2 linked regions of the Callithrix jacchus genome follow. The protein of the gene in region 1 purifies or fractionates together with the protein of each later gene. This does not show direct contact. Links are inferred from orthologs where the notes say so. Each region holds a gene or a part of one and is shown in the gene's direction. Other genes may lie near its edges.

The links. Proteins that work in one complex are often made in the same cells at the same time.
Region 2: the proteins of EXOSC5 (region 1) and HBS1L purify together in Homo sapiens (affinity purification with mass spectrometry; 3 studies listed by BioGRID and IntAct, with this or other methods). This does not show direct contact. The link is inferred for Callithrix jacchus from reciprocal best matches to the Homo sapiens genes EXOSC5 and HBS1L.

The regions. Positions count from the first base shown.
Region 1 is NC_133523.1:36,659,476-36,664,829, reverse strand, and holds the end of EXOSC5 (exosome complex component RRP46), read left to right. Parts: intron 1-1,774; coding exon 1,775-1,864; intron 1,865-2,924; coding exon 2,925-3,027; intron 3,028-3,331; coding exon of another isoform or gene 3,332-3,369; coding exon 3,370-3,581; 3' UTR 3,582-3,725; downstream 3,726-5,354. Other genes in the region: TMEM91 (transmembrane protein 91), read right to left, coding at 4,719-4,877. UniProt on the Homo sapiens protein: Non-catalytic component of the RNA exosome complex which has 3'->5' exoribonuclease activity and participates in a multitude of cellular RNA processing and degradation events.
Region 2 is NC_133505.1:141,713,274-141,718,627, reverse strand, and holds part of HBS1L (HBS1-like protein), read left to right. Parts: intron 1-1,238; coding exon 1,239-1,501; intron 1,502-1,956; coding exon 1,957-2,122; intron 2,123-5,055; coding exon 5,056-5,173; intron 5,174-5,354. UniProt on the Homo sapiens protein: GTPase component of the Pelota-HBS1L complex, a complex that recognizes stalled ribosomes and triggers the No-Go Decay (NGD) pathway.

The DNA.
Region 1 (5,354 bases):
AGTTGTAAACACCACTGCACTCGGACCAGCCAATCCCAACAATTTGGGAGGCCGAGGCAGGTGGATCACCTGAGGTCAGGAGTTTGAGACCAGCCTGACCAACATGGAGAAACCCTGTCTCTACTAAAAATACAAAATTAGCTGGGCGTGGTGGTGCATACCTATAATCCCACCTACTTGGGAGGCTGAGGCAGGAGAATCACTTGAACCTGGGAGGCAGAGGTTGTGGTGAGCTGAGATTACACCATTGCACTCCAGCCTGGGTGACAAGAGTGAAACTCGGTCTCAAAAAAAAAAAAAGTATGGCCAAGAACAGTGGCTCACACCTGTAATCTCAGCACTTTGGGAGACTGAGATGTACAGATCACCTGAGGCCAGGAGTTCAAGACCAGCCTGGACAACATGGTGAAACCCCGACTCTACTAAAAATATAAAAATTAGCCAGGCATGATGGTGTACGCCTGTAGTCCCAGCTAGTGGGGAGGCTGAGGCAGTAAGATTGCTTGAGGTCAGCCTGGACAACATGGTGAAACCCCGACTCTACTAAAAATATAAAAATTAGCCAGGCAGGCCGGGCGCTGTGGCTCACGCCCGTAATCCCAGCACTTTGGGAGGCCGAGGCAGGTGGATCACGACCATCCTGGTCAACACGGTGAAACCCCGTCTCTACTAAAAATACAAAAAATTAGCTGGGCCTGGTGGCGCGTGCCTGTAATCCCAGCTACCTGGGAGCCTGAGGCAGGAGAATTGCCTGAACCCAGGGGGCGGAGGTTGCGGTGAGCCGAGATCTCGCCATTGCACTCCAGCCTGGGTAACGAGCGAAACTCCGTCTCAAAAAAAAAAAAAAAAATTAGCCAGGCATGATGGTGCACACCTGTTGTAGTCCCAGCTGGTGGGGAGGCTGAGGCAGTAAGGCTTGAGGTCAGCCTGGCCAACATGGTGAAACTCTCTCTCTACTAAAAATATAAAAATTAGCCAGGCGTGATGGCATGTGTCTGTAATCCCAGCTACTCAGGAGGCTGAGGCAGGAGAATTGCTTGAACCCAGAGGGCAGAGGTTGCAATGAGCTGAGATTGTGCCACTTTACTCCAGCGTAGGCAAGTGTGAAACTCCATCTCAAAAAAATAATGAAATAAAACCAGGACCATCAGGATGTCCTCGCTTCACTTCTCGTCCCTGCCTTTCTCAGCTTCATTCTCCGTGGCTAGCATCTTTCCTGAGGCTGGGACTGACCCCGTAAGCTCCCAGTTTCCATCTTAAGAGGCTCAAAAGCAAACATCAGCTCAGGCTCAGTGTCTGAGCTCAGGTTATTCTGTGTTGTCTGCCCAGTGCTCTCATGGTTTCCTCCAATCCAGAAGGCAGAAACCATGTGGAGGGCTTGAGATGGGGGGAGCTGTTGCATTTTTTGGCAGTTGAGATGGAGTCTCGCTCTGTTACCCAGGCTGGAGTGCAGTGGCGTGATCTTGGCTCACTGCAACCTCCACCTCCCTGGTGCAGGCGATTCTCCTGCCTCAGCCTCCTGAGTAGCTGGAACTACAGGCACACACCACCACGCCCAGATCATTTTTGTATTTTTAGTAGAGATGGGATGCTCTACCCTTCTAACCCCATAGAAGGGTGACTGTCTCTCTTGACCTTGTGATCTGCCTGCCTCGGCCTCCCAAAGTGCCAAGATTATGGTCATGAGCCACTGTGCCTGGCCAAGGGACTGGCTGAGATTTTATCTGAAGGGAGGGTCCTAGGTCTCCCACTACCTTCTTCCCCTCGTCCCTAGGAGGCCCGGGCAGTCCTGACCTTCGCCCTGGACAACGTGGAACGGAAGCTGCTCATGTCCAGCACCAAGGGGCTCTTCTCGGACGCTGAGGTACCAGCATGGGGATGAGGGCAAAAGCCAGAGCCTTCCCTCCCACCGACATGCAGTCTTGTCCCAACTCTACCCCGGATTCTGAGAGGGTTCAGGAGAGCCGCTTGCATTTCTGCTTGTAAAAAACAGAGTTTTCAAACTTTGTGGTCCCAGAAACCTTTGTGGAAATGTTTAAGGGAAGCCCAATTTATGGGACAGGCAAAAAGAGGCTGAGCTCAGTTTAAAGTCAGAAGATGGCCAGGCATGAGCCCACTGGTACACACCTGTGATCCAAGCACTTTAGGAGGCTGAGGCGGGTGGCTCACGAGGTCAGGAGATTGAGACCATCCTGGCCAACGTGGTGAAACCCTGTCTCTACTAAAATTAAAAAAAAAGAAACTTTAGCCGGGTGTGATGGCACATGCCTGTAGTCCCAGTTACTCAGGAGGCTGAGGCAGGAGAATCACTTGAACCCAGAAGGTGGAGGTTGCAATGAGCTGAGATTGCACCACTGCACTCCATCCAGCCTGGCAACAGAGCAAGACTCCATCTCAAAAATAATTAATTAATAAATAAATACATACATAAATAAGGCTGGGCGCAGTGGATCACGCCTGTAATCCCAGCACTTTGGGAGGCCAAGGTGGGTGGATCACGAGGTCAGGTGATCCAAACCATCCTGGCTAACAGTGAAACCCTGTCTCTACTAAAAATACAAAAAATTAGCTGGGTATGGTGGCACGCAGCTATAATCCCAGCTACGGGAGGCTAAGGCAGGAGAATCACTTGAACCCAGGAGGCAGAGGTTGCAGTGAGCCAAGATCGTGCCACTGCACTCCAGCCTGAGCAACAGAGTGAGACTCAATCCTCAAAAAAATAAGAATAAAAAAATAAAGTCAGAAGATGAGGGCACATGATGGTCCCCCAGCTCCTAGCTCAGAGTGGTAAGCCACCAAAATTCCAGGTCTCAGGCTAAGGGACAGAAGCTTGGAAACTGCAAAAGCACGTCCAACCTGGACCTTATGAATCTAGGAATACATGGCAGGAAAGACTGGGAGTCTCTTGATTCCATGGCTCTTAGGTTATTCGGGGTCAAGGGGCCCATGACTGTAAACTCCCAAGACCACTCCAATTCTGCACTTTCTCCAGTTCCCTAGCTCTGCAAAGCTGGGGCCTCTTCCAAGGTAGGAGAGGATGCCTGATTGGTCTGAGTCCTGTTGCTGTCAGAATCTTACCCCTGAAGCCCTCACCCTCTCTTTATTTCTCCTGATCTCTAAGAAACGGCTCGTGAAGTGGGAGATAATGCCTCACCACCTGTCTCACTTGGGGGCGGGGGAGTGATGGGAGGTGAAGGGGGAGGTGGTGGGTTTGGGGGGCGAAGGGAGGCAGGTGGGGGTCAGCAAAACCTCTTGCATCAGCCCCGTCATGGTGTGTGTGTGTGTGTGTGTGTGTGTGTGCGCGCGCGCGCGCGCGCGTGCGCGCGCACAGGTCTCAGCCCCCAGCACCAACCAGTCTCTCCCCCGAAGCTCCAGCAGTGCCTGGCCGCGGCCCAGGCGGCTTCGCAACACGTCTTCCGCTTCTACCGGGAATCGCTGCAGAGGCGTTACTCCAAGAGCTGAGACAAGCTGGGGCAGGGGGCCACTCCCTCTGCCTCCACCCACCCACCCACCCGCTACAGCCTGAAGCAAACCAGCGGCCCAGCCTTGCCTCTCTGTCCTATGGGCTCATAGGACAGTGAGCCTGCAGCCATGTTACCATAGGGGCTCCTGCAGGGAGGCCTTGGCCCCTGACAGTCCCCAGGCTTGGGGACACAGATCCCTGCCCAACAAGGAGTTCACATTTATGGAATGGATGAGTCAATAAATTAATTCATTTTAACACATCTGTGGAGTACCCAATGTCTGCAGGCCCTGCTAGTGAGATCCCAGAGGAGCACGCAGCTGAGCTGGTATTTGCCAGACGGTACTAAATCTATGAAAAAAATAAAACCAGCCGGGCACAGTGGCTCACGCCTGTAATCCCAGCACTTTGGGAGGCCGAGGCAGGTGGATCACGAGGTCAAGAGTTCGAGACCATCCTGGTCAACATGGTGAAACCCTGTCTCTACTAAAAATACAAAAAATTAGCTGGGCATGGTGGTGCGTGCCTGTAATCCCAGCCACTCAGGAGGCTGAGGCAGGAGAATTGCCTGAACCCAGGAGGCGGAGGTTGCGGTGAGCCAAGATCGTGCCATTGCACTCCAGTCTGGGTAACAAGAGCGAAACTGCATCTCAAAAAGGAGTTCAAGACCAGCCTGGCCAACATAGTGAAACCCTGCCTACTAAAAATACAAAAATTAGCTGAGCGTGGTGGCAGGTGCCTGTAATCCCAGCTACTCTGGAGGCTGAGGCAGAATGGTTTGAACCCGGGAGGTGGAGGTTGCAGTGAGCCAAGATCGTGCCACTGTACTCCAGCCTGTGAGTGACAGAGTGAAACTCCATCCCAAAAACAACAACGACAATAACAAAACCCTCTTTCCCCCTTCTCCAGCTCAGGTCTCAGGGAGCAAGCACCCTGGGATGGATGCCCACCACAGCTCATCACCCTGACCGGTTGGTCCCCTCTTGGTCTCAAGCACCCCAACCCCTTCCATCCTCCCCGACACACACACACGAATAGGCTCTGGTTTGGATGCAAGGGTGTCTGGTGTTTAATCTCACGTTGCTGCCGCCCGATGAGCGGTGGCCAGGAAGGGGAGGGGTTCCAGTCCAGCTTGCTCCCATCTCTAGATGCTCCTGCTGCCGCCGCAGCCTCATCCACCAAGATTCTCCACTCTCTGCCCACAGATTCGCTGGACTGCCGGCCTCATGGTTCACAGTGAGGGCTGTAGGAGCAACTAGGGCGGGTCTCGGGAGGCAAGGTAGGCGGCCAGGGTCACCAGGGCAGCCGCATATGTGCACACGCCCAGCCCGATGGCGAGGACCCCCAACAGGAAGGCACGGCGGGAGGCGGCCCCTGCCCCCTGGATGTCCCCCTTGGCCCAAGCCTTGTTGGTCTGTAGAGGCAGTGGGCAGCAGTGACCCAGGCATCCCCTCAGCCCCAGACCTTTCCCCTGGTCCCTCCCCCACCCAACATACCCATTCATTCATGCATATATGTATTCCAAAAGCAGGTATGTAGCACCTACTATAGGTGAGCCACTGGGGATGCTGAGTGCCTAATAAAACATTAAAATAGGGCCGGGCACGATGGCTCAAGCCTGTAATCCCAGCACTTTGGGAGGCCGAGGCGGGTGGATCACGAGGTCAAGAGATCGAGACCATCCTGGTCAACAAGGTGAAACCCCGTCTCTACTAAAAATATAAAAAACTAGCTGGGCATGGTGGCACACGCCTGTAGTTCCAGCTACTCAGGAGGCTGAGGCAGGAGAATTGCCTGAACCCAGGAGGCGGAGCTTGCGGTGAGCCGAGATCGTGCCATTGCACTCCAGTCTGGGTAACGAGCAAGACTCCATCTCAAACAAAAATCTTGC
Region 2 (5,354 bases), on another chromosome or scaffold:
GAAACATTGTTATCAAATATAAACAATAGGTTTTTACTATAAACAATAGATTTTTATATCCTTTTTTTTCTTTCTTTTCTCCCTTTTCCAAAATTATATTTTTTAAGAAACACAAACTCAGGAGCCTTATTTTTTTCCCTTACAATATTCTTTTATCTAAATTAGTGCGGTATCATGAGTTTTGGTTGGGAAGAATGTTAATCATCACCTAGTTCAATTTTTGGATTTTATAGATTTCAAAGTCAGTGAAGGAAAGGACTCCTTCTCTAAGACATAGTACACATTCAGTATACATTAATTGAATGATTGGATGAATGAAAAATTTAATTTAATTTTTATCACCTGTTAAAATAATTTAGAATTCTGATTCAGTCTCAAAAATCTTCATGTATGTCTTTTTTCCTTCTGAATTAGGATTGGGTTATCAGAATAATTGACCTTTTTTTCCTTAATCTTGAATGCCATTTAATTCTGTTATGGGATTTTTCCATCGAGGGAGAGAGAGGAAATACATAGAATACACAAGTTATTGTTCTAAGGATTTTATATTCTTTCAAGGAAAGAATAAGTTAAGCTGGATAGTCTTGTTTCTCCTTTACATATCTGAGTTCCTCACTAGATTGTAATCTTTTGGGAGTGGTAGTTAGCTTTTTCATTTCTATGTCATTTTCTTTTCAACATCAGTCCCTAGTATATGTTGTAGTTTTTAGTAAATCGGGTGTTTGTTGAATTAATTAATTAAAGCTCCACTGTCAAAAATGTTTATGAACTGTAGTCATTTAGAGATATCTCCCCTGAGGGGGATAATAAAAAGGATCATAAGTTTATCATGTTGGAAGGATGAGTTGGGGTAAAACTATATTTTAGTACTAATTCTACTCCAGTAATATATTTGGTGCCATTTTTACAAAATATCCCCTTTATACCATTGATTTTGATAGGATGGATTATATCGCCAAGGCTTAGATTTTGAATTTCAGTTATTTTTAAAGATATTTTCTTCATACCTTCATTTTTTGGTACACTGTTTTTCTCTTGGGATCTTCCACATCTGTATTTGTGTGGTTTGAGTCTAGCTACTTATCATTTCCACCTTAACAGACTCTAGCTACTTAGCAGAGATTATTTTTGGTCTGGAGTATAAAGAATTATGAAGAAACAGTTTTTCTGCCCTTCTGACATTATAGAACATCAGTCGAGTTGGTTTAAAATGCTTTTTTCCTGTCTGCCTTCTGTAGAGTAACTTCTGAAGAAAATGGTCATAGTTTCCACACACCTCAAAAGGGACCGCCCAGTGAAGATGTCAGCATTGCTGCTTCTGATGTTCTTGAGACTGCTTCTAAATCTGCTAATCCACCCCACATGATTCAAGCCTCAGAAGAGCAGAGTTTAGCCCCAGCATCAATGAGAAAGTCTGGCAAGCTGAGACAGCAAATAGATGTGAAGGTGGAACTGGAGAAGCGGCAAGGAGGGAAGCAGCTCCTCAACTTAGTGGTCATTGGTAATGCCCTTTGTCCCTCTGGATCGTCAGCCTCCATGCCTTACCCTGCCCACTGTCTTGTGGCCGCATGGAAATTCCGAGTTCTCGATAGGTGGAATGGACAGAAAGCGAGGAGGCACGGCCTCATAATGCTTTCTAGTCACCTGAGGAGAGAGAATGCCAAGTTACCGAAGAAGTCATTACACTTGGTTGTGGGATTTTTTGTTTTGTGAACATTTTGAAATTGGCATGTCTTGTTGACAATTTTAATTTCCAAAAATCTGAGAAACTTACCCCCTCTGTAAAGAGACTTGCTCTTTTTTTTTCTATTTAGATGTTTTAACTGTCATTTGATAAATACTGGCATTATTACTGTAAACCACTGACATGAAATAGTGAGTTATACATGTATGCAATGCCTCAGTGTGAACGTCTGGAAATGTACCTGGTATTAATCCTGAATCAATTTTCTTTAGGTCATGTTGATGCTGGGAAAAGTACTCTGATGGGCCATATGCTTTATCTTCTGGGTAATGTAAACAAAAGAACTATGCATAAGTATGAACAGGAGTCTAAAAAGGCTGGCAAAGCTTCGTTTGCATATGCATGGGTCTTGGATGAGACTGGCGAAGAAAGGGAAAGGTAGTCACTATATTTTGTAATTTTCAGTTTGAAGTCATATAGTCTTCTAAAATAAGTGTATAATATGTCTCAAATTTGTAAAACATATGAAATACGTTAGAGACTATTTTTAGAAAATAGCTTTTAAATATCAGGGAAAATCTACATACTGTTTTTACTCCTCGAAACTTTATGGAAATAGATTAAAAGAATGTTTGTCAGAAACAAAGTAAAACAAAAGCCATGCAGAAAAAAAAACAGTAAAAATCATAAGCTAATTATTCTATGGGATAAGTTTCAGTTGTTACTTCCTTAAGTACATGTCAAATTGTCTTGATTTTGAATTAAAAGTAAGACTTTTAATTTCATGTCAGCTTACAAAGGAAATGTAACTGTAGTAAAACCTCTTTTGTCTAGAATCTAAGTAACCAGCAAATTCAAATTACTAAATAATTCATTTTTATACTTTATATATTCTGTTTTTGTGAGACAGCAAACAAGTAATTCTGTAGCTATAATGCAGTCAGTTACTTATCTTTCTCTGTTACTGTGTTAAGTGCTAATTTTGGGGAGATTCTAATAGGAATATGCAGCTACTAATATACTCTGGCCAAAGAATAGTATTTCTTTTGAAGTATATTTAGAGTGACAGTATATATCATGCTAGGGTGGGAGAGCCAAAGGACACCTTGATAATGTCATGGCAGATATATCAACTGTGTCAAAATAATAACTATTTACAAACCAAGTCCTGTGAAAGTCTTAAATTAGCAAGGAGATTAAACTGTGTTCCCTGATGTCTTCAGTCTGATTATTGGAGAATGTATCTGGATATTCATGCCTTTTTAATATGTATTTTCTTGCAGTCTTGCATAGTATCCATTATAATATATGAGATAATGCTCTGTAGAGCAGGTCACAGTATTCCTTACCTCTTCTGGTAAACCAGAATTTGTATCATAATGTTTTCTCTTTCTTTGCGGGTGTCTTTAATTCTATATAGTATCACAGGCCTGTTTTCTATCCTAGTAAGAAAAATTAGCTGGACAGTTGCCAATTATGGAAAACAATGGAATTGTATATGATACAATATTAGAAGCCTAAATAATTTTCACCTGTCAGTTTAACAAGCACATTATTAAAGTATGTAGTTTTTTAGTTTTCTCTGCGTTATCTAATAAGTAGGTAAAGACATTGAGAACAGTATATTTAAGTTAGAATGGTTCACTTGAAGTTAACTAAGTTACCTAGTATCTTAGTTGAGCTGGCAAGTGAACTAATAATTGATTTGAATCCTACAATGGTCAGTCATTTTAGCTTTTTTGATAATGTTATCTATTGATTGGTTTTCATATTTTTGCTGCTGCTGGTTCTTTATTGCTCAGCATAAGTTTTAGAATATTTCTTCATTCCATAGACAGCAGATGCTTTCAGGTATATAATGGGAGTTTTAGCTCACCACCATATGTTCCTTAATAGCATTTACAAAATGTAATATGTTGCTTATCCCACCATGTTAAATATTTGTAAATCCCTTGTTCTTCTCAGATACTGAAGAACAGAAATGAGTAAATTTCATATCCTTTGGGTTGCAATGACATTTCATATCCTTAGGGTTACAAATTGAAATCAGAGCTGGGTCAGCAGAGTATACTCAGGTCAGTCTACAGAGGATCTCGGAGTAAGTCTTAGTTCGCCATTATTCTGAAGGTGCCCGTGGTGCTTGGATTATTGGGAATTATTAAAGAGAATTAAGCATCACTTTGTCAAACTTGGATGGCCCAGGCTTTCAGGTTAAACTCAAATGTCTTGACTAAGGAGACCCACAGTTACTTTATTGCTAGGGCAAACCTATAGTTTGTTATTCTAATTGTTGTACTCTTTTGGTAGTAAAAGGGAGTACTATTATTCATTACTTTGGATGATTCGGGGGCAGACCTCGTTTATTGCCTGCATGATTTCCCCATCTAAATGTCTGAGGCCTAGAATGACTGAGTGTCCCTGTAGACCTCCTTAGGCCTCTTATACAGGCTGAGGATCCCTAATCTGAAAATCTGAAATTCAAAATGCTCAAAAATCTGAAACATTTTGAGTGTTGGCATGACATCGCAAGTGGCACATTCTACATCTGATCTCATATGACAGGTCACACAAAACGACTAAAAATGTTGCATAAGAGTCCCTTCAGGCTATGTGTATAATGTGTATATGGAACATAAATGAATTTTGTGTTTAGACTTGGGTCCCATCCCTTAGATATCTCATTATGTATATGCAAATATTCCAAATCCAAACAAATGTGAAATTTGAAAAACTTCTAATCCCAAGCATTTCACTAATCTGAATCTATATTTTTTTGTGGCTGAAAAAGGCACTGTGTTGGTCTACAAGAAGAATTAAATAGGATAAAAAGCAGTCTGCTGTTCATGTCTCTCCGTTTCTTGAAAATTAAGCATCTGCTTTGATATCTTGTGTTTTCTAAATATGTAACATACTGACCAGCCTTGCAAATGAAAGTTTTAGAAGCTCATTTCTATAACTAGTGAAGCATAAGCATAGAACATGAAGAAAATTACCTCTTGGTAATGGTAATTTTTCATTTATCTTTTCTCATGTGCAGTATTTTTCCCCCATTTAGAGTTGTCCCCATATATGTTTCTTTGTTCACAGTTTACACTATTTCTTACAAAAAAAAATAAGGTAAGAGGGCATAACTATCATTTTTATTGAGCTCTTACTGCGAACACAACTTCATGTTGTTAAAGCCATATGAATGCACTTCTATGATACCAGACATTCCAGCCCTGATTGATAATTTAATTTTTCAAAAATAATGGTCTATAAATAAAATTTCCATTTTTACCTAAGAATTTAGATAATCATGTAGACTATTATTAATTTACTCTATAGCACTATTACATAGTACGTTCTAACCATTTTATGTTTTGTTTAAGGGGAGTAACCATGGATGTTGGTATGACCAAGTTTGAAACCACAACCAAAGTTATTACATTAATGGATGCTCCAGGCCATAAGGACTTCATTCCAAATATGATTACAGGAGCAGCCCAGGTAACTAATATTTTCTTCACAATAGTGTACTGACTGTACTTTATAAAATTTCCTAATGCTGAGGTTACAATTCTAGGATTTTAACTTTTAAAATATTTTAAAATGGAAAGTTTTAACCTTTATCAAGTTTGAACAAGAAAACAGCAATATTGTATTTTTCATGATCTTTTTACCTGTACTT